Arabidopsis thaliana: one gene and its partners. The protein of the gene in region 2 interacts with the protein of the main gene of each other region in a pairwise test. Each region holds a gene or a part of one and is shown on either strand. Other genes may lie near its edges.

The links.
Region 1: the proteins of SKL2 (region 2) and PKT3 interact in a two-hybrid assay, tested with the Arabidopsis thaliana proteins (one large-scale study listed by BioGRID).
Region 3: the proteins of SKL2 (region 2) and AT4G25920 interact in a two-hybrid assay, tested with the Arabidopsis thaliana proteins (one large-scale study listed by BioGRID).
Region 4: the proteins of SKL2 (region 2) and AT2G42490 interact in a two-hybrid assay, tested with the Arabidopsis thaliana proteins (one large-scale study listed by BioGRID).

What each region holds. Positions count from the first base shown.
Region 1 is NC_003071.7:14,046,972-14,053,003, forward strand, and holds PKT3 (peroxisomal 3-ketoacyl-CoA thiolase 3), read right to left. Parts: upstream 4,430-6,032; 5' UTR 4,013-4,429; coding exon 3,923-4,012; intron 3,511-3,922; coding exon 3,434-3,510; intron 3,326-3,433; coding exon 3,241-3,325; intron 3,159-3,240; coding exon 3,032-3,158; intron 2,943-3,031; coding exon 2,844-2,942; intron 2,771-2,843; coding exon 2,703-2,770; intron 2,623-2,702; coding exon 2,515-2,622; intron 2,426-2,514; coding exon 2,348-2,425; intron 2,231-2,347; coding exon 2,098-2,230; intron 2,004-2,097; coding exon 1,907-2,003; intron 1,740-1,906; coding exon 1,616-1,739; intron 1,524-1,615; coding exon 1,415-1,523; intron 1,128-1,414; coding exon 1,044-1,127; intron 953-1,043; coding exon 843-952; 3' UTR 507-842; downstream 1-506. UniProt on the Arabidopsis thaliana protein: Involved in long chain fatty-acid beta-oxidation prior to gluconeogenesis during germination and subsequent seedling growth. Confers sensitivity to 2,4-dichlorophenoxybutiric acid (2,4-DB).
Region 2 is NC_003071.7:14,912,094-14,917,198, forward strand, and holds SKL2 (shikimate kinase like 2), read left to right. Parts: upstream 1-1,843; 5' UTR 1,844-1,944; coding exon 1,945-2,187; intron 2,188-2,359; coding exon 2,360-2,550; intron 2,551-2,643; coding exon 2,644-2,838; intron 2,839-2,945; coding exon 2,946-3,007; intron 3,008-3,090; coding exon 3,091-3,157; intron 3,158-3,230; coding exon 3,231-3,349; intron 3,350-3,441; coding exon 3,442-3,618; intron 3,619-3,706; coding exon 3,707-3,816; 3' UTR 3,817-4,575; downstream 4,576-5,105. Other genes in the region: AT2G35490 (Plastid-lipid associated protein PAP / fibrillin family protein), read right to left, coding at 216-527, 715-910, 1,082-1,704; SRO1 (uncharacterized protein), read right to left, coding at 4,805-4,912, 4,991-5,105.
Region 3 is NC_003075.7:13,163,664-13,167,417, forward strand, and holds AT4G25920 (hypothetical protein (DUF295)), read left to right. Parts: upstream 1-1,811; coding exon 1,812-1,868; intron 1,869-1,950; coding exon 1,951-2,705; intron 2,706-2,817; coding exon 2,818-3,178; 3' UTR 3,179-3,209; downstream 3,210-3,754. Other genes in the region: NFU3 (NFU domain protein 3), read left to right, coding at 465-566, 652-769, 845-1,143, 1,240-1,431.
Region 4 is NC_003071.7:17,690,881-17,697,818, reverse strand, and holds AT2G42490 (Copper amine oxidase family protein), read left to right. Parts: upstream 1-1,795; 5' UTR 1,796-2,292; coding exon 2,293-2,497; intron 2,498-2,709; coding exon 2,710-2,819; intron 2,820-2,902; coding exon 2,903-3,208; intron 3,209-3,305; coding exon 3,306-3,418; intron 3,419-3,498; coding exon 3,499-3,829; intron 3,830-3,912; coding exon 3,913-4,128; intron 4,129-4,202; coding exon 4,203-4,439; intron 4,440-4,702; coding exon 4,703-4,888; intron 4,889-5,077; coding exon 5,078-5,218; intron 5,219-5,549; coding exon 5,550-5,818; intron 5,819-5,911; coding exon 5,912-5,993; intron 5,994-6,084; coding exon 6,085-6,219; 3' UTR 6,220-6,412; downstream 6,413-6,938.

The DNA of each region.
Region 1 (6,032 bases), 870 kb from region 2:
ACCAGATTCTTACTCGAAAAAGAAAATCAAAATTACTCCGTCAAATTCATGGAATAAGAAATGAATACGGTGCCCAAAAAAGATGAACCTACACAAATAAATGATTCAGTGGATTTGTTTTGCTCTGTATAGTGATCAAAGTCGGTCAATTCGCATAATTAATTGGTCAAAGCCTCAATAATGATTTCCATATATGATAACATTGATGGCTCGTTTTTAACACAAAACTGAGGGGATGCATTGGAACATGATTATAACGTCTTATACTGCCGTTATAACGTCTCCGGTATCAAAGACAAGATACTATAACGAAAAGAAAAAAAAATACTAGAAGGAACGTTATATAAATAGCTATGAGAAAATAAAATTATGGGGTGAGAGAGGCTCGAACTCTCGACCTCAGGATCACTCAGTAGCTATGAGACCTACGCGCTAGCCAACTGCGCCACCACCCCAACTGTTACTATTAACACTGTTTTAGTTAATGAAATTCAAGGTAAAATCATGAAACACAAACAAAAGGCAGAACCCTTGACTTTATGAACGTTTGACTTATCCATCGAAATATAGAAATGGCTGCCACCCAAAAAATCTAAAATTTCTAGAAGCAACAACTGATGAAATTCGAGAAGAACAATATTCTTACATATAAAAGATTTAAAGATTATCCCCCTTCACTTAAAAAAAATACTAAACACATGACCTGGTCAAGAACAACACAAGACTCAGGCAAACATTGGTTGTGTGCTTTATTCGAAACTATAATAATATCTGAAGAAAGTGACAAGAAGACCAGAAAAGAGAGAGGTGAGGTGAAAAACGGTTTTGGTGCATGGTCCTCTCTAGCGAGCGTCCTTGGACAAAAGACCTTGCGCTTCAACTTTCCTTGCGTTGCGAAGCTCATCAACTCCATCTCCTCTCTCAAACACAGCTGCTGCACCCATCCCCGTCCCTGCCAGAGTTTACCAAATCAGTAAAACCATCCCTCAGACACATATTTCAGACACCAAATTCACAATGAATTATTCGAGTGAGAAGCATACCAATGCACATTGACACTACTCCAAAACGGCAGTCTTTACCACGGCGTTTCATCTCGTGCAACAATGTAGCAACACAACGCGCTCCTGTGAGAGTTTTAACAAGTATTAGCAACTGTTCATGAGCGTTTTATAATTATATAGACACAATGTAGACATTGATATGCTTTGAAAAGGACGGACTGCGGCAAGATAGAGCTCTTGTAAGTTGGTTAAAGAACCATTAGTGAGGACAGAGTTTATAAAGATATATCTCGGCTGTGGATTTCTTAAGGTTTGGTTGAGAGTTGAGAGATTCTCATTAATTCAAGTCTCTATGGTTTGGTAAATTGGAACAAGCTTAACAGTTTTAGTCCTGTTCTTAACAGATATACCTGTAGCGCCCAAAGGATGGCCTATGGCCATTGCACCTCCGTTGACATTGATTTTCTCTGGGTCAAGTCCCAATTTGTTACGGCAATAAACAAACTGAGATGCAAATGCCTGAACACACAAGGATTCAAACAGATGGTCATCATCAGAATGTGCGGGAAGAGATATGTGATAAGAAGATCATGAAATTGTTTGCTATATACCTCATTGATCTCAAACAAGTCGATGTCATCAAGTTCTAAACCAGCCGCCTTAACTGCAGCAGGAATGGCAACTGCTGGACCGATACCCATGATTGCAGGGTCAACACCAACTGCAGCAAATGTCCTGCAATATGTCCAATAGTGTGCTACTTAGAAAAAGCCAAATACAGAAAGAACAATGTATTTTCCACGTATACTAGCATATCTGTGTAAATGGAAATCACAAGCCTCTGCAGTTTTTTCGGTTTTCAGACTTCCACAGTCGTAGCTTTGTAAGTAATTATTACCCACCTGAATACACCAAGAACGGGAAGTCCTTTTTGCATTGCAACACTTCTCTTCATTAGGAGAACCGCTCCTGCACCATCACTTACTTGGCTGGAATTTCCTGTTTGCGACAGAACAAATGAAGCAATGGATTTAAAATTGTGATAATAAGAACTGTGGTTTCCATAATGAAACAATTGATTCGGGAAAAGTACCAGCAGTAGTGGTGCCATCCTTCTTAAACACTGGCTTCAGCTTCCCAAGAGAAGCAAGAGTTGTGGTTGGTCGGATACCATCATCAACAGAAACTGTAATGGGTTTCTCATCACCAGTCTTCGGGTCAACAAGCTGAAATTTAAAACACACGTTATTGACTAATACTAGAACATGAATGAAGTTCAGTAACTAATCCACCAAGAGAAGTCTTAAATGTTACAGTTATTGTATGAAGGATCTGAAAAATACCTTGGTCTTAACAGGAATGATCTCATCCTTGAATTTACCAGCAGCAGTAGCAGCAGCTGCCTTTCTGTGCGAGTCAACCTAGCAATATGACTCCATAGCTTAGCATAGCGATCAAAGTTATAGGTTATTTAAAATACAACCATACTGAAAAAGTTCAGTTCCCTTACAGCAGCTTGATCTTGCTCCTGCCTTGAGACACCAAAGCGTTGTGCTACATTTTCTGACGTAACACCCATAGGAAGAAGACAATTCTGCGCTTGTGCAAACTTCTTCACCTGAAATAACATAGTCCGTATTATAGTACGTATTAAAATAACAGAGCCAAGTAAGACTCCAGATAAGAGAGAATCAGTACCGCTGGGTTGACTGACCCTTCCCATGCCATTGGATTGGTAGTCATGGACTCCAAACCAGCCCCGATACCTGCATCCATCATATCGTCAGCTCGGTTCTCTATGAAAAAATGTGGCGTAGTTAAAGACGGTTATTCACTAACCAATGTCATAAAATCCCGCTTTAATGGCAGCGGCTACATCAGCAACAGCCTGAAGCCCAGATGAGCACTGTCTATTCACAGTTCTGACAGCCACGGTTTCTGCAAATGAACATAACAGGATGAGCATACAGGAAATAAAAACAAAGACTTTTCACCATTGTATTGTACTGTACATAGAAGAAACATACCAGGGAAACCAGCATAGAACGCAGCCATCCTGCATTCACTGGCTCTCTGAGATCCAGGTGCCAAAACAGTACCCACAACAATGTCACCTACTTCACTTGGGTTTAGATTCGTCTTCTCTATCAATGCCTATGTCAAGGAAGAACTATCTATAAATAGACGTAGAAAGGAAATAAAAACCAACAACAGAATAGAAAAGATAGCGACAGACCCTCAAAACAGGTGCGAGCAAATCATCGGGATATGTATCCTTGAAATTGCCACGTTTGGACTTGCATAGTGGAGTCCTATGTGCCCTGCAATGGATCAATAAGTGTAAGTCTATCAGAAAGAGACGAGAAATCTTCATACGTTGCTGAAAAACCAAATACCAAAAGAGTAAAAGCATAAGAGATGGGACTTACGCGACAATGACAACATCATCTCCATAGAGAGAGGTCCTCTGATATGCAGCACTGTCCCCAGCCAAGCAAGCAGAAGCCTGGGAATTTGGAAAGAACACGTTAAAGAGATCACACGTAGTAATTGAAATCAAGCTTTGACTTTTAAGAAATCATCAGTACATGCAGAGCACGGATAATTCAACCCAATCGAACAAAAATCAAACAACAACAAAAAAAAAAAAGATATCTATCTCAATCCAGTGAACGAAATACAAAAACAAAATCCAAGTCTTGAATTTGATCTCAATCGAGCTGAAACTTAAAATTTTCAGCTCACAGGCACGCCTCGAATCAAATTATAATTCAGCATCAAAATCAAAATCGAAAATTCCATATAATGAATCCAGATCAACAACGATCCATAATCCCCAGACTGCAAACACAAGAGAAGACAACCAAAAGATCGCGATAGATCGAGAGAGAGAGAGTGTGTGGTGATAGAATGCTTACAGATAGAGAAGCCTCGTAATTGTGCGAAGAAGAAGAAGAAGGTCGGAGATGCTCAAGAAGAACGCGTTGTCTCTCGATCGCTTTCTCCATTTTTTCCGGCTGATTAAAGATAAAATTCGGATCTGTTGTTTTTTCTCAGAGAAGGATTTGTTCTACACGAAAACTCACAGTCCTCGGGTTTGTGATCATTTATAAGGTAAGATGACTCACCGCTTTGCCCGTTCCGGGTAAATGATAATCCCAAAATAAGTAAGAATAAAAAATATCTCTTTTTCGTAATATTTCTTTGCTTAAACGACCAAAAAATATCATCTGTGACAGCGATACAAGTTCTTATCCTATAGTTGTAAAATCCAAATCAAACAGTTTTTAGCCTAATGACCTTACTCTAATTATGAATTAAAATGTTCACACTGGTTTGGTGATTGTTAATAGTGTGAAATAATTGATGATGAGAGTCATAGTCATAGATAAGCTGAGAGTGTGATAGAAGAAGATAAGATTAGGCGTGACGTTTGCCCCCGCCCGTTTTGGGCTTTGAAATGCGTGCCGTGTTTTTCATTTCCATCTTCTGGATCTTAATCTTCTTCATATTTACATAATAACCCCAACTATTTGTATTACTTCTATTTACGCCTTAAAGTTGCTATTAATTCTAAAAGTACCCTTCTTGAGACTTGATCGCTATTTTCTTTTTACGTTTTACCAACGTAAAGTTAAAGCCCATATGGTGTGATAGTTTGCAATACTATGGGCTCGGCCGGTTTAAACGAAATAAGAACGGATATTGTATAATAGTGAAAACTACATTTTCAATTAATAATGTTATTATGCGATTGACAAGCAGATGCAATAGTGTTTGAATAAAATTTTTATCAATATGAACTTTACTTAGGCATATATATTACCAATAATGACAATATGGCACTGCAACAATGCACATCTGCGTAAGGTTAGCATGTCAAGATCTCTTACACGCCGTGATACCAAATTTATATCGACTTGCAAATATGGGAGATTAAAGCTCTCTTTACTCAATTTTACTCAATCTTACAAACATTTGTGTGGTACTTTCCGGAAGTTTTCCGACATGTAATATTGAAATTAGATCGTGTAGAGAGTTATCAAATAACAAAAAAACTCGAGAAACTTTGTAGTTTTGTTATGTATCAGACTAGAAATTAACTCTAACTGAATGGAGAGATTAACATTGAAGAGGAAGAAACAAAACTGTACGTGATCAGCTTTACATTGTGCTTGTCTATCTTTACATTGTGATTATTGTAATATCGCCCTAATATTTTCGCATATAGTTGTCCATTTAACCTATTAGAGTGAAACATCTATATATTAATACTTGTCAATTTAATAATCATTGTAAATTAATAAACTTTTCCGGTTCAAAGTTGGACGAATATAATATATAACGTAATTGGATAAAAATGTTATTTGTTTTTCTTTGAATTTGTTTTAATTTTTGTGAAAAAGTCATTTTCAATATTTTTACTACATCTAAAAATTAACACTTATATAAATCAATAAAATATTTTATTCCCCATGTTATTAATTTATAATTTTATTTTACTGTATTAGCTCTTACATGCAACATCATAGACTTCAGTTTTATTTCTAACAAGATTATTTAATCTTAAACATCTATCCAATGTCTAATTTTTGTGAAACAATATAATATCTTATCAACTTTAGTTTTCAATCTTATCTTTTTATCTAATATACTTTGAGTTGGCAAACAAATCCTATGCAAAGAAGAGACGAAATTATTGAAAATGTTAATTTTCTTACTTAACCATACTAAATATCTTTATTCTATCATTTACTATATTCGTTATATTAACATATCTATGTTTTTTGTAAAGACAAAATGTTAACCAATAAATTTTACATTTTTAATAATTTTGTTTCTTCTCTGTATATATATTTTTTCCTGACTCAAAATTAAATGAGATAAAAAGATAATTGAATCTCTTATATATGATTTTAGGGTAAACATTCCCATATCTTATTCTTTTATATTATCTTTTTTTAATAACAAATACACATGTAAACTGTAAAGTATACATTTCTTATCTATATGAATGAAGTATAAATT
Region 2 (5,105 bases):
ATATCAGTCCTCCAATTTTGCTGAATCATTCTTTTTAGTTTTTTACTACTGACCGAAACTGAACTTATCTAATTTCGTGACAGACAAATGAGTACATAATTAAAATTTAAGATTAGGCCCAATAATCTGCATTCAGCATTATTCTGAAGATGTCTCTACTGTAGTGGTTACGGTTTTTACATGAAGCCTGCTATATATATACTTTATCAAATATTTCAGAGCTCAAGCAGAGAGCTTCCTTCTCTGGCAAGCACGAAAAGGCCACCATCTCCTCTAGAAATCCTGAGATCCTTGTCGAGATAAGTGGTCAAGAGCCAAGAGCTGCCTCGGTTTCCTGGAAACGGAAGCTTGAGAGGTGGCTGACCAGAGAGTGCCCGTGAAATGTTTGCTGCCACATCTTGTAAGGGGTTCAAAGACTGCTTTAACAACGAAAGGCTAATCTGCTGCCCAAAGACGCCCACACTCTCTGGGAGATCTACACTTGATTTGATCACCGGGGGTTTTAGCGTGCCTTCTTTGAAAGAAACCTGACATTTACCAAACATTAAGACAACCAGATGGTGATACCAATACAAATTCAATCTACAAAGAAACCTTTTTAACATAGCTTTGTTTTAATGGTAAGGTTTGATTGACTGGAATGTAATCAAAAGTACAAACTGTTAATGCTTCAGTGACCTTAATACTCAAACTGGTGTTTGTAAGTTTAGTTACCTCAATTCTTGAAGGGCTTCGAACTTCAAATGAAGCAGTAGCACTGAAGGAGAAGTCTGCAAAAGGGCTGGAGAGTGTAGTGGAGTTGTCGATAATGAGATTGTTTGTGTCTATTGACTGACTTATGCTTTTAACTTTCAACAAAGGTGTCGAACCCGCAGCTAGTAGAGGAATCAACTCAGAGAAAGCAGTGTACCTATTTCATAACCCAAGAAAATACACAAAATTGGAACAACAGTAACAATTCCTGGATTATTATCATTCTTCATCAAAGATTTCACAATGTCTCATTCTCAATTCACAGTGTTGAAATTCTCAGCGACAACTAAAGGTTCCTACATCATCGAAACAAGATCATTTAACTTACAGCAAAACCCAGTTGCCGTCGAGAAGTTCTGGATTCTCTAACGGAGCCGGAGTAGGATTCAGAGCTTCCAGTTGATTCACAAGCTCCAAAACCTCCGCTCGGACTTCTGACCCAGCTTTGAAACCTAATTCAGTTCCGTACACCGAATCCGCCAAACACCTTTTCAGCTCCCAAGTCGGGTCAGACACCGCACTTCCATTTCCAGCGTCGGCTTCAGTTTCTCCTCCAATTTCTCCTCCCCACTCGTCTTCGTTCCTTGGAGGATCCGATTCCATAAACCGGGTCCCGGATTCCTCAAGTTCGGGTCCGGATTTCTCGCCCCATTCGTCCGTAATCACATTCACGGTCACATTATCTGGCTGAGAGTCGGGCTCATTTGCATCTCCAGGTTTCTCACCCCATTCATCTGTAACTGCAGACGCATCTAGGTCGGATTCCGATTCAGATTCCGAGGGCAGAGAAGATCGGATTTTAGAAAACCGGAGTGGCTTGGGACGATAACCAAAAGAGAAAGAGAGAGAGTTAAGTTTTAGGGAGATAGAAGGAGAGAAGGTCTTGCTTGGATTTATGGAGGAAACATAGAGGAGTGAAGAAGGACGAGCGACGGTGAAGAGCGTAGCCATGGCCGATCTTTGTGTTCGAGCTTGGTGAGAAAATTTCGGAAAACAAGATTACTCAAGTCTTAGAAAATCACACGAAATTTAGATGACCCCAGAAAAAACGCAATTTTAAAACTTCAAAAAAAAAAAAACTTTAAACTAATGGGCCTGACCCAGGCCCATTATAACGATTTGTATTCGTCTCTTTCCCTTATCCCCGTAGTGATACTTTGTCTGAGTGAGTGAGTTTGAAATCAATCATCAATGGCTGCTTTTGCTTCTGGTTTGGCTATAATCTTCAACTCTCCTTCACTAAACCCTGTCACAACTCAAGCGACCTTCCTTTCTTCGAATCGGATTCGTTCCTCTCCTCGCGTTTTCAGTGGATTTCACAGCCTCCGACGTCGCGGCTTCCGGCGATTCTCTCAAAATGTTATCCCCGACCGGTTTAATAGCTTCTCATGTAATTGCTTATCCGCCGTATCCACCAGCACTATCGATTACGAGGTGAATTTTCGTATTCACGTCTATACTAGTGTTGCTGGTCTATCAGTCTGAGTGATAAAATGGAGAATTGCGTATAAATGGCTGGTTCCAAGGTCTATGTATATATACCATGATCATGTAGTTGTTGTACATTAGTTAGATAAAAATTGAATCGTTTTCATATATGATGCAGTTCACGGATGGTGGCAAAGAGGTGGAATTAAGATTGAGGTTAAAGACAGGTGAGATACTTTCTCCAAAGGATATATCTGTTGACGCAGATGGAACATCGTTAGCCGTTAAAGAAAAGCGGAATGGATTGCTGATTACACTTCTAGAGACTAACCATCTCTTTGAGAAGATTATGCCCTCTGAAACAATATGGTTAGCTACGTGTAAATCTTGCATTATATGACTTGTTTTTGTGATGTGTGACATTTCCTTGAGGGCTGAAGTTTTGGTTTTGATCCAGAACAGGTACATAGACGAAGATCAGTTGGTTGTGAATATGAAGAAGGTGGATGGGGAATTGAAGTGGCCTGATATTGTCGAGTCCTGGGAGTCTTTGACTGCAGGAATGATGCAACTTCTTAAAGGTGCATCAATCTACATTGTTGGAGATTCAACTGAAATCAACCAAAAAGTGTCTCGAGAGCTAGCCGTTGGCCTTGGGTATGAATTCAGATTCTTCTCAGTGGGTGAATTCAGTTCCCGCCTTTCGTTCATGAGCTCAGTATGAATAGTATTTCAGAGTCTTATACACTTGTTATGATCTGCAGGTACAGTCCTTTAGATTCAAAGGAATTGCTGGAAAGCTTTTCCAAGCAAACAATCGATTCTTGTAAGTTTGCTTTTGGATCATGGTCATCATCTAACAAGAATCTTCCTCACTTCTCAGGACCCTTTTGTTTGTCTTCATTTTAGGGATTCTTGCAGAAGGGCCGGATTCTGTAGCTGAAGCAGAGAGTTCGGTATTGGAAAGCTTGAGCAGGTAAAAAGTCATGTCTAGTGTTCAATCTCTTTCCAGTTACCAAGATTAGCCACTGATCTCCATGTCTTTGCAGCCATGTGCGTACTGTTGTCTCAACTTTGGGAGGTAAACATGGAGCTGCGGGGAGAGCTGATCAGTGGAGACATCTTTACTCCGGATTTACCGTTTGGGTATCACAGACTGAAGCCACAGGTCAATTTCTCTCTACATCCACTTAAAATGAACCCTTCTGAACAGAAAACGAGAATCACTGCTTATACATTCAAGATTGGTTCTGAATGTAGATGAAGAGTCAGCTAAAGAAGAAGCGAGGAGAAGTAAGCAAGAGAGGGAGATTGGGTATTCAAACGCCGACGTTGTGGTGAAGCTCCAAGGTTGGGACCCGACGCATGCAAAGAGCGTGGCTCAGGCTTCCTTGAGTGCACTTAAGCAACTGATCATCTCAGACAAGGGACTTCCAGGTAATAAATAGAAGAAACCCATTTGTAAATTGATGCTTTAATCTGATAAATGTTTTGGAGATTAAATGCGTCTTTTATGATATTGAAGGTAAGAAGAGTTTGTACATACGCTTGGGATGCCGTGGCGATTGGCCCAATATAAAACCGCCGGGATGGGATCCATCGTCTGACACTGGACCTCATCCACAGTTTACATAAACAGTGTCAAGACATGCTTTTTGCTCTCTCCTACAAACGAATGCTCTTGAAGAAATTTTCTGTTATTGTTGTCATTGTCAATGGTATTTAATTGTTAAAGAAGTTGTATATTGGATAATTTGAGAATTGACTACCAATCTGAGTTTTAAATGGCACAAAGCGCACCATGGCTCAGAGAGTCCTTTAGTGCGCTATGTGCCATGGCTCACCAAAGCGCGCGCTTTTTAGATCTGTGGTGTTCTATTAACAGATTCTCTGCATATGGTTTTAGCCTTCAAGCTTATATCGTCTATGGTGTTCTATTTAGAAAAATTAGGGATTTTACATCTTCTAACTGGTTAAAATGTCGTGGGTTAAGAGGTAAGGGTCAAATCCGTTTTAGTTTAAGATAAACCTAGGATTGATTTGGTTTGATAAGCTAATTATAACTCATGGTTAAACTTTCTAGTCGTGGATTAGGTATTGACCAGCTAAATTGAATCATGTATTAACCAGCTAGGTTTAGAAAATGGTTTATCCTATTCCTCCTAGTCATTTCTTCGTGCAAACCCTAAAATCACAGAATTCTGTTGTTGGTTTCGAAGAGTTTTCGCCTGAACACAAGAGGCGATCGCTTTGCCACCTTGTGCATCGGCCAAGGCTCACGTATGGCGTGCGCATTATAGATGTCGCCTCGCCTCCACGTCTTGTTGCCCTATTCTTAGAGCATCGGTGCGCTATGCGCCATGGCACGCCATTAGCGCGCTTTTTAAAACTAAGGCTGTTGAATAACTTCCAGCTGATGAATTAAACCTCACAAAGAACCAAGGCTGTTGATCAATAAAAGACTCTTTGATTCCAAGTAAAGAAAAACAGGATAATGGAGACTAGTTTCACCAAAAGAGTAAATATAACAGTACTACTACTAAGTTTCTAAAGATCAAGTCACGTTTGTCGTAATCCAAACTATTAAGGTTTCACGACAGCAAAGAGAAGTCGACACATTAATCTAACCCAAACTCCTTTGAAGGCCTGTTATTGTAGATATCAGCAGATCATCATCTCCTACAATCATACTCAGCGTCTTATAAAATTCCTTTCTCGACACCTTCTTCTCCTGCAAGAGCACACCGATTATGTTAATACAATATGATAACCTTGACTATTGGTAAAAGACATGGTTTATATTATTTACCCTGAGTTCCTGGTAACCAGCAATTATCAAATCCATGTCTTTACGAGCAATTTTGCTCGAGATTGCTTTGAACAGCAGAGGGAAAGGCATTATAGGAGATCTGGGCCTTCTACTG
Region 3 (3,754 bases), on a different chromosome or scaffold from region 2:
ATTCATGTTCTTAAATCATCAGTCTAAACAAAAAAATTAGATTAGCCGAAGATTTCTTCTTCTACCCTTGATGATACTATTTGGGATGGGCTTGCTTAGATGTGCCGAATCCAATTCTCGTTTTTGGGTCTATCTATATTTGGGCTGGGCTTTATAAGAGGCGAAGCCCATGTCGAACAATCAATTTTTTTTTAATTTTATATTTCTTTTGGGAGTCTGTTCTGTCGTATTGATTAATAAAGTAAAAAATCTTAGCCACAAAATTAAATCATCTCCAAGACGTATCAATATCATCATCAATCCACCAATGAAAAGTTCTCTCTTTTTTTTTCCCACTCTTACTCTGTTCTCGCTACAGAATCTCCTGGGAAAAAAAAAAAAGAAACTTGATCCACCCGAATTCCCCAAATCTTCACAATTTCTGGAAACTCTCTCGATCGTGAAGCAGAAAAGTGAGGTTCCAAATGGGTTCTGTTTCGGGTCAAACCCGAATTACAACGATGAACCTCTCGCTCTCAACAGCAGAGAAGAACCCTAATTTCCGCTCGTCGCTTCTCAATTCTAAGGTAATTGTTATCACTTCGTCGAGCTTCACCAAAAAAATGACTCCTTTTGCTTGATTTCTTCTTCTCCTCTTTCGCTTGTGTTTAGAACGCAATTTCAGATACTTTAGGGGTCTCTTCCAAATGCAGTACATTCCTCAGGGGTCAATTTCAAAGAATACATTTTTCTTGGCTACAACACACTCGACCTTTGAGAAAACGAACAGGTACTTGATTTGCAAACCAGACCAATCTCTTTAGAACTTTAGTTGTGATTTAGATTCTTGTTATGTTTGGTTTAGTATTTGGTCACGTGAGCTGCGTCATGCCGTTAACGGAAGAGAATGTGGAGAGAGTGTTAGACGAAGTACGACCATCTCTAATGGCCGACGGAGGAAACGTGGCGTTGCACGAAATCGACGGACTTGTGGTGGTTTTAAAGCTACAAGGAGCTTGTGGTTCGTGTCCTAGCTCATCAATGACGTTGAAGATGGGAATCGAGAGTCGTCTTCGAGACAAGATTCCAGAGATCATGTCCGTTGAGCAGTTTCTTGAATCCGAGACAGGAGGTTTAGAGCTGAACGATGAGAACATTGAGAAGGTTTGGTTTTTTAAAGGTTTAGTTATTTTTGGTTTATTAGCCCCTTGGTTTTGAAATTGATCTGAATGGTCCTTTTTTGGTTTGTTGTCAATTTAGGTTCTCTCTGAGTTAAGGCCGTACCTATCCGGTACTGGAGGTGGGGGGCTTGAGTTAGTTGAGATTGATGGTTACGTGGTCAAGGTTCGACTCACTGGACCAGCTGCTGGAGTCATGACTGTTCGTGTCGCGTTGACTCAAAAACTGAGGGAAACAATTCCTTCTATAGGTGCAGTCCAGCTTCTAGAGTGACATTAACCTTTTTATTTTGTAACTTATATACAAGGCCTATTTTTGATTCAATATATTTTATTTCCAATTATATAATTAGTACAACTAATACAATAACCATTTCTGTTGAAGAAAAAGGAAAAGAAAAAAAAAGTATCCTATGTATGAAGGACATTTTCTCTAGTGATCCTTGTTTTTAGGTAACAGTTATAAAATATTCATGACTTGACTACACAAAGATAATCGAACTTAAAGAGTTATTTCCTTAAACCAATTATTCTCTAATTAAATATGCATTTATAGCGAGTTCTTGGTGAGCAAGGATACTAGAATCTCTATAATAAGTCGGACATAAGAAGATATGAGGAAACACAGACATAACATAGTTAAGAGTTTCAACAATGTCAAAGCTTATAATCAACCGAATATTCAAACCCTCTGTCTGCAAAAATTTCCTCGTACGTAAGCTTCTCTTGCTTTTTCTTTTTAACTTTAATTTTGTTCTTGTTGTCTCTGAATACTTGAACATAACTATGGCAGAGACACGCAAACGTTCGTCTGTTCTCATCTGCAACTCACACGAGTACTAAAGTGAATCAGCCCTTCTCGTCTAAACCAGCCTTCCCGTTTCTGTTGATTGACTACATCCTAAACAACCCAAACTCTTCCTCCGATGGTCGCGTAACAACAAACGTTTACGGTAATGAAAAGGAAGTCTTGATTAAGGACAAGGATCTTAAGGAGGAGGTCTGTGATGCGATGACTGTCGGGTTTTCTCGTGATGGGTTGCGAGTCGAGCTTTGTGGCAACCACGGCGATGTATGTTCTCCCACCATCTTTTACAAGCCTACTGACCCCGAAATAGAAGACTTGACCGTTGATCTACCTCCTCTACCGACGGGTTCACAAATCCAAAGCCTGGTCATGTCCTCTTTACCTAAACGAGACAAAAATTGGGTAGTTGTTGTCAAGTTATTGGGATCTCAGTTGAGTATGTGCAGGCCTTTTGGCAGCCGTAAATGGATCAACATCCAAACCAAGCCTCAGAATATAAACCCTTCATCGAGCATCATGTTTTCCAAGAAAGAGAAAAAGTTCTACGTTCCAACTCCCGGAGGCAACATCTTGTGCTATTTGGATCCTCACTCAGAGGACGACGACCTAATTGATTTCGTGGAATTGGAGTTTGACGATCTTCCAAAATCGGTGTTTCAAGAGTTGGCCGACGTGAGTACATGTTCTAGGACAGACCACCTTGTGGAGTCACCCACCGGCCAACTTTTCCTAGTCAAGTGGTATACTATCTAATTAAAGCTATATATAGCTTTTGTCTTCATAACATATATACCAAAATCTCTAATCCTTTGCTTGAGTATCATATTGGCGCGCTTTATCATGTCTTTGCAGGTATGGAGAGGATTTAGAGGACATTGACAACACCACACTGTATAATGTAACAAAAAAGTTCATGGTGTTTAAAGAGGGAGAGAAACCGAGTTGTGTCTACACTAAGAAGATGATCTATACAGAAGACATTGGAGATCTTTGCATTTTTGTTGGACATAGTGAGGCTTTCTGCGTCCCGGCTAGCTCGTCCCCTGGCCTCAAGCCTAACTGCATCTATTTTGTGGGCTATAACTTTGGTGTTTATGATCTCACCACCAAAACTTGCACTATGTTCCTCACAAAAGATGATAATCCATTAAGGAAATTGGAATTCCCTTACTGGCCTCCTCCGGCTTCCTTTCCAGTACTAGCTCCTAATTAATTATCTCTCTTGCACGTGTTTATGTTTCGCTAATGTTATCGCTGTCTTTGCTTTCCCATGATTTCATTTAAATCCAATGTTCTCTTTTAATCTATGTTCAATGAAATTTATATTAGTGCCTTAAAAGAAGGCGAATCTATCCTACCAAAAAAAAAAGAAGGCGAATCTAAACGAATTCGGTTAATTCATCATATTTCTCAATTAATATACGTAAGACACACTTTGGCACAAAACTTATATAATTATTTATTTCCTGAAACAAGTTATCCTCTAAATATGTATATTTAATGTCCTAAGGTGTAGTACCCTCGGTATTCACTAGACAGAGACGGGGAAGACGAAAGAGTCGCACGTCAAATCAAAATCACAACACATATTTTGAGTGTTGTTACATTATTTTGTGGTGGATCACTATGTGGAGTCACCCTCCGGTGAACAATTCCTCGTCAAGTGGTATATATACTATAGACATTGCTTTTGAATAAACAATTATACAAACTATTAGGTTAATTACTCAACATTTTAATTTGATTTAATGGCTCCTCACCAAACACAAGAAGAGAGGTGAAACATGTT
Region 4 (6,938 bases), 2.8 Mb from region 2:
TCATGTGAGAAATCTTCTAATTTTATTTCACGTTATTCGTTCTTGAACATCTCTGATTTTTGAATAGAACCTTGAAATTGTTATGTTTATTTGTTCTTCAAAGCTTGATATAATAACAATAGTCGCTGAACGCATCAGATCAGCCACTCAAAATGTTCGACTGTGAACCTTCTCTTGACTTGCAATCTAACGGCATTGAAGGCTTTGTTGTACTCATGGCTATTGCATTGAGAATGAGATAAATAAAGAACAACATTGAGACTCAGTGCAGACTGGAAGGAGCAAATTGATAGACCTCTAAATGAAGAGCTCAATGAGAAAGCTCCTGAGTTGGTGCTGAGCTGGATAGACAAGTGTTTTAATGTATAGAGTCGTAATCCAGTCTAAATACAAAGTAGCTGTGGGAAGTAGAAGGTTAAAGGTTGTTGTAAAGGGAACACATTCTACTTTCTCGGGACTTTTCTTTGGTCAATCAAGAATTGGTGCTTGTTTCTATCAGTAACTGAACAAAACCAGAGAGTATGAGTTTGATCTTTACCAAACGCAACAAGGCATACAAAGGCAAATCCATAGTAATGACAAAAGATATCTAAGAAATAATAAGATAAGTAATACATTTGCTTAACAACAAAGAACAATATAGTTCTTAGCCAAAAAACATAAAAAAACAATGAACAATATAGTTGAGAACAATGTGATAGACCAAAATCTTATGTATTCATTCATCAAAAGAGAACAGTTTATATTGGAATTCTAAACGTTTTGCCTACTATTGAAGGTTTCACAAGAAACAAAACAAACCAAAGACTAGAAAACAAAGTGTAATTCAATAGTCTACGTTAACATGACGTGTTTTCGCACCGAAGACAATAATATATAAACTGTGATGACAGAATATGGAGTCATGGACTATGTAAGGCTAAACTAGATTATGGAGTCATGGACGAATGAAGAGTTTTTAATTTCGTGAATTTCATAAATAATGTGAGCCTCGTAATACCACTAGTTGTAGACAGCGGTTCTTTGGTGGTCGATATTGCATGGATTATGCGGTCCACTCCACGATCTAATTATTACAACTATATACATATATTTATATATCATGCACTATATTTGTATTTTACAATCTTAAAACCATAACATATCAAAACACTTTGATTAGTAACTTTTGTAATTTTATAAGCTTCTTGTGATTTTTATGTGATAAAACATAAACGACACCAATTCGTTTTTTTTTGTTTTCATACATATTTTCTATAATATCTGTCAGGATCTAATAATTAATATACTGCTCTAAAAGTATATATCATATCAATTGTCTCCAAGTTTTGGTGAAACACCTCAAACTCAAGTTAATAAGACTATTTTGGTTGTATTCATGTTTTTTTTTTGGCTATGTTCCATTCTGCTTACTTCTTAAAACAATGTAGTGTCCAATAACAGCATAAACCTGATAAGAATAATAATTATGCGTGTAGAATTTTGGTGAAACACGTCAAACTTATTTAACAAAACATATATGTTTCATTTTTTTTTGGTTAATTTTTTCCCAATTTTTTTATTTTGAAATAAATTTTCGGATAGTGACATATAACCTTATGTAGTCTGTCAATTGTCATATTTTTCTATTTCCATCATCCTATATACTTTACCTTTGTTAAAACTCCTTAGATAAGAACTTCCAATATTTTCCTTACCTATATTTTAATTTCCAGTTTTATATATTTAGTACTTAAAAAATTCAAATGGAAAATATGTTTGACTCTAATTAGACACATATAATATATATTTCCAAATAGTAAATTACAAATTGAGAAACTCATGAACAATAGTGCATCCACGTCGTTATCCAAGTTGGATTTCTTTCTAAAACAAATAATTAGACCTTTAAAAAAAAATATAAATAGGTACTTGTTAAAAAGTAGGAGAGCCCACAAATAAGGCTTTGGCCGCTTCTGCTTGGACTCTCCAACAAAAATCAAACTCTTTAAAAAAACAAACAAATTGAAGAGCGATTATACGATCACGGAGAACTCAAGATCCGGTGACGAATCCAACTTCTTGTGACGGAGCTCAAGTCGAGAGAGAGAAGACTGTACTAGTAGTAGTAGCTGTGGATTTTTGTGTCATCATCGGAGATCGGAATCTTCTTCTTCTTCTTCTTCTTGGAGCTTCTAGAAGTGGAGAGAAGGGGGAAGATCAAGCGACGGATAGTGATAGGTTTTGCTGTATGTCAGTGGATTGTGTTGAAACTGATTTTGGTGGATTTGGAGAACTTGTGAACCCTATTCAATGGCCTCAGCTTCGAAAAAGACGTCGGCATGTCCTCACCACGGTGGCTCTCTTCCGCCTCCCAAACTCGTCTCCGCTGCTCCCGATACCGTTGCTGTATGGTCCGACGCTGACGATCAGCGAGCCTCTAAAGTTTCTTTGGAATCCGTTATCCGCCCTGTCGATTCGTTTCCTGATAATACTGCCAAGAAACCTGCCAACAAAGGTTTGATTTGATCGTTGATCGTCCTTCATTCTTCTGATGTTAGCTCGCGATTCGTTTGAATTACTTGACTTCTTGTTTACTGGAATTTGTTGATGATGGTTACTTTTTGTGAAATTGGTTCTTGTCTACTTGATGGCTTCTGATTGAGATCTAATTGTGATCACTATTGTGGTTTCTGTGAAGTTGATTTTCTGTTGTGATCACCAATGCAGGGATTTCTGTGATGCCAAGGACTGAAACCAAGCACCCATTGGATCCTCTTTCTGCTGCAGAAATATCAGTTGCTGTGGCGACTGTTCGCGCAGCTGGTGCCAATCCTGAGGTGCGCAAACTTACTTGATTCTTGACAAATGCAGAATGCTTGATAACATTGTCACTGAAACTGTTTTACTTTTTCTTTGGCAGGTTAGGGATGGCATGCGTTTCATTGAGGTGGCATCAGTGGAACCAGATAAACAAGTTGTGGCGCTCGCTGATGCTTACTTTTTCCCACCGTTCCAGCCATCACTACTTCCAAGAACTAAATCTGGACCTGTGATTCCGATGAAGCTCCCTCCAAGGCGAGCTAGACTTGTTGTTTACAACCAAAAGTCTAATGAGACAAGTGTATGGATTGTGGCATTGTCTGAAGTTCATGCTGTCACTCGGGGTGGACATCACAGGGGAAGAGTTGTTTCCTCACAAGTTATACCTGATGTTCAGCCACCCATGGTATGTTAAACTATGTTTTAAGGAATTGGATCTCTAAGTGACTTTTAGATGCTACCGTTGTTTGCCAGTCTCTAAGTTTAGATTCTTTTGATTTTAGGATGCGGCTGAATATGCTGAATGTGAAGCGATTGTCAAAGACTTCCCACCATTCATAGAGGCAATGAAGAGGAGAGGTATTGAAGACATGGATCTAGTGATGGTTGATCCCTGGTATGTTAACAACATCATCGTTTCTGTTGACAATTAAGGTGTACTTCTTCTCTGAGCCTACCTCTTAATGTATTGTGCAGGTGTGTGGGTTATCACAGTGAGGCTGACGCTCCTAGTCGTAGGCTTGCAAAGCCCCTTATATACTGTCGGACTGATAGTGATTCCCCTATGGAAAATGGATATGCTCGTCCAGTTGAGGGCATTTATGTACTTGTAGACATGCAAAACATGGTGGTGATTGAATTTGAAGACCGTAAGTTTGTGCCACTCCCCCCACCTGACCCTTTGAGGAATTATACCCCAGGTGAAAGTAGAGGGGGTGTTGATAGAAGTGATGTTAAGCCTCTCCAGATTATTCAGCCTGAAGGTCCAAGTTTTCGTGTAAGGGGTTACTTTGTCGAGTGGCAGAAGGTAGATTTCCAGTAATAGCCTACTTGAAACCAAGTGATTATGCTTAAGCTTATTTCTAAATTGGCTCAACATTTTGTTTACAGTGGAACTTTCGTATTGGATTCACTCCAAGGGAAGGTTTAGTCATACATTCGGTAGCATATGTTGATGGCAGTCGAGGTCGAAGGCCTGTTGCACACAGGCTAAGTTTTGTGGAAATGGTTGTGCCTTATGGCGATCCTAATGAGCCACATTACAGGAAAAATGCTTTTGATGCAGGGGAGGATGGTCTCGGGAAAAACGCACATTCGCTTAAGAAGGTTTGACATCAGTTTTTTTTTTGGTGTTCTTACCACTCAGATCTCAGTTTGTGTTTAACAATCGGTTTTTATAGGGGTGTGACTGTCTGGGATCTATCAAGTACTTCGATGCCCATTTCACAAATTTCACTGGAGGAGTTGAAACAATTGAGAACTGTGTTTGCTTGCATGAAGAAGATCATGGGATTTTGTGGAAACATCAGGACTGGAGAACAGGATTAGCCGAAGTGCGAAGATCTAGGAGACTAACTGTCTCTTTTCTATGTACTGTTGCCAACTACGAGTATGGGTTTTACTGGCACTTCTACCAGGTTAGTGGAATACGTGATTCTTCATTTCTTGAGTAAAGCAGATATTAGTCATATTTGCATCTAATTTCTATAGGGAAGACAAATGATGTGTCTCCGCATGAGAATAAATCCTGAGTTTAGTGGCACTTTGCTTGTGATTTTTCACTTGAGGACATTGATTTACAGTGCTGAATCCGAGTTTCATTTGTTTTCTGATTTGTAGTTTCATCTTTCTAGATATTTGAAGACCAATATCATTTTATGTCTTGAATGTCTTACTGTAGGATGGGAAAATCGAAGCTGAAGTAAAACTTACTGGTATCCTCAGTTTAGGAGCTCTGCAGCCAGGTGAAACTCGAAAGTACGGTACTACTATTGCTCCTGGGTTGTATGCACCAGTCCATCAACATTTCTTTATCGCTCGCATGGATATGTCTGTTGACTGTAAACCTGCTGAAGCTTTTAATCAGGTACCTTTTTATGATGCTGCTCTTCTTCTTGTTATTTACTTACATATGCGGATTATTTTCTCAGTATTTAGGAATGGCATTGGTAGCATATGAATTTTAGAAGTCCCTATAGTTCTTGAAAAAAAATCTTAGATACATGTTGTCAGCTGGTTTTGCTCAATAGTCAGCTTAATCCACTTTTATCTGTAGGTAGTTGAGGTAAATGTTAGAGTTGACGAGCGAGGTGAGAACAATGTCCACAACAATGCGTTTTATGCGGAAGAGAAGTTACTTAAATCTGAGGCAGTGGCGATGCGTGACTGTGACCCTCTTTCTGCTCGCCATTGGATTGTAAGCAAAAACCGTACCTTGCATGTTCTCGTCCATTTATTGCATGTTTAACTTTCACATTGTCAGTGCTCGTACCCGTCTCTGTAATATCCTTGTTTATATTTCTTTCATCCTTGACTATCTACTAGTCTCATCCTTGAGACTGGATTTGGGATAAGAGATCACCTGAGCATCCCTAAGTTTCAGTCATGTGTTTATATAGTCTCATACTTGAGTTCCTTTACCAAAAAATCATCTCAGAGTTTCATTGAATATGATTTGTAGCTGAAGTATAGATGGTATACTCACGCAAGATGTATATTCAACACAAATCATTGTAATGTGTTATCAGGTAAGGAACACAAGGACTGTAAACAGGACGGGCCAATTAACGGGATACAAACTTGTTCCGGGTTCAAATTGTTTGCCATTAGCTCGACCCGAGGCGAAGTTTCTAAGAAGAGCCGCTTTCCTGAAGCATAATCTCTGGGTTACCCGTTACGCCCCAGACGAGAAGTTTCCTGGAGGAGAATTCCCAAACCAAAACCCACGGGCTGGTGAAGGTCTTGCCACATGGGTGAAACAGAATCGCTCCTTGGAAGAATCTGACGTCGTTCTTTGGTCTGTATCCTTGTTTTACTTATCTGATTCAGTTAAAAACTACTACTTACCAAATTATGTGACTTTCAATGTGGAATTTTCATTTGTCACCAGGTACGTGTTTGGGATCACACATGTTCCTAGACTTGAAGATTGGCCGGTTATGCCCGTCGAACATATTGGTTTCACACTAATGGTAAGTTAAATCTTTGACTGTAACTTTCAATGGAAAAAAAACCTTACAAAGGATTGGTTAAAAAATGTTTTGGGTTTTGGGTAAAATACAGCCACATGGATTTTTCAACTGCTCACCGGCAGTAGATGTGCCACCGAATCCATGCGAATTGGAGACTAAGGAGAGTGAAGTCAAAGAGGTTGTAGCACCGAAAGCTCTTCAGACTGGTTTACTTTCAAAGCTTTGAAGAATATGAATATCATTTGTTTTCTTTCTTTGATCTCTTAAAAAATTGGAGGCGTTGCTGTTGGTTAAGAACAATTTCATATTTGAATCTTTTATTTTCGTGTTTGGTGTGTGTGTTTGCAAGACTAAAAAGACCTTTGTCATTGGAATATTTCTATTAAAATTTCATATTTGAATCTTTTATTTTCGTGTTTGGTGTGTGTGTTCTTCTATGAATTGCATTAGTTTCATACTTTGGAAAAGAGAAGCAAATAAATATAAACATTGGAAGAGAGGAGCAACATCTCTACTATTTTCATTTTATAAGCCAATCAGAGCGCTCCATGTCATACCCCATTCTCACCTTTTACGTGATTTCACACCCACTCTCACTAATCGCGTGTTGAGGGCGTGTCTACGTTTTCTGAGGGTTCTAACCCACCAAATGGCTTGTTTTGAAACACACTCGCTCTTTTTTAAAAAAGCCTCGAGTGCGTGATTTCAGTGTTTTTCTCCTTTAATTCCAATTCAAACCCAACCGAAATCAATTGAATTTTTCAAAACCATGTAAATCGAACCGAAATTAAAAACACAAACGACAAACTAGCAATTGTCACTTCCACAATTGATCCAACTCCGACGAACCAGATTGATAATTTTGATTCGATTCCACACAGATAACATATAGTCCAAACCAAATGCAATTCATATAGCCTAAAAATCTTAGCTAAAACCCAAAGA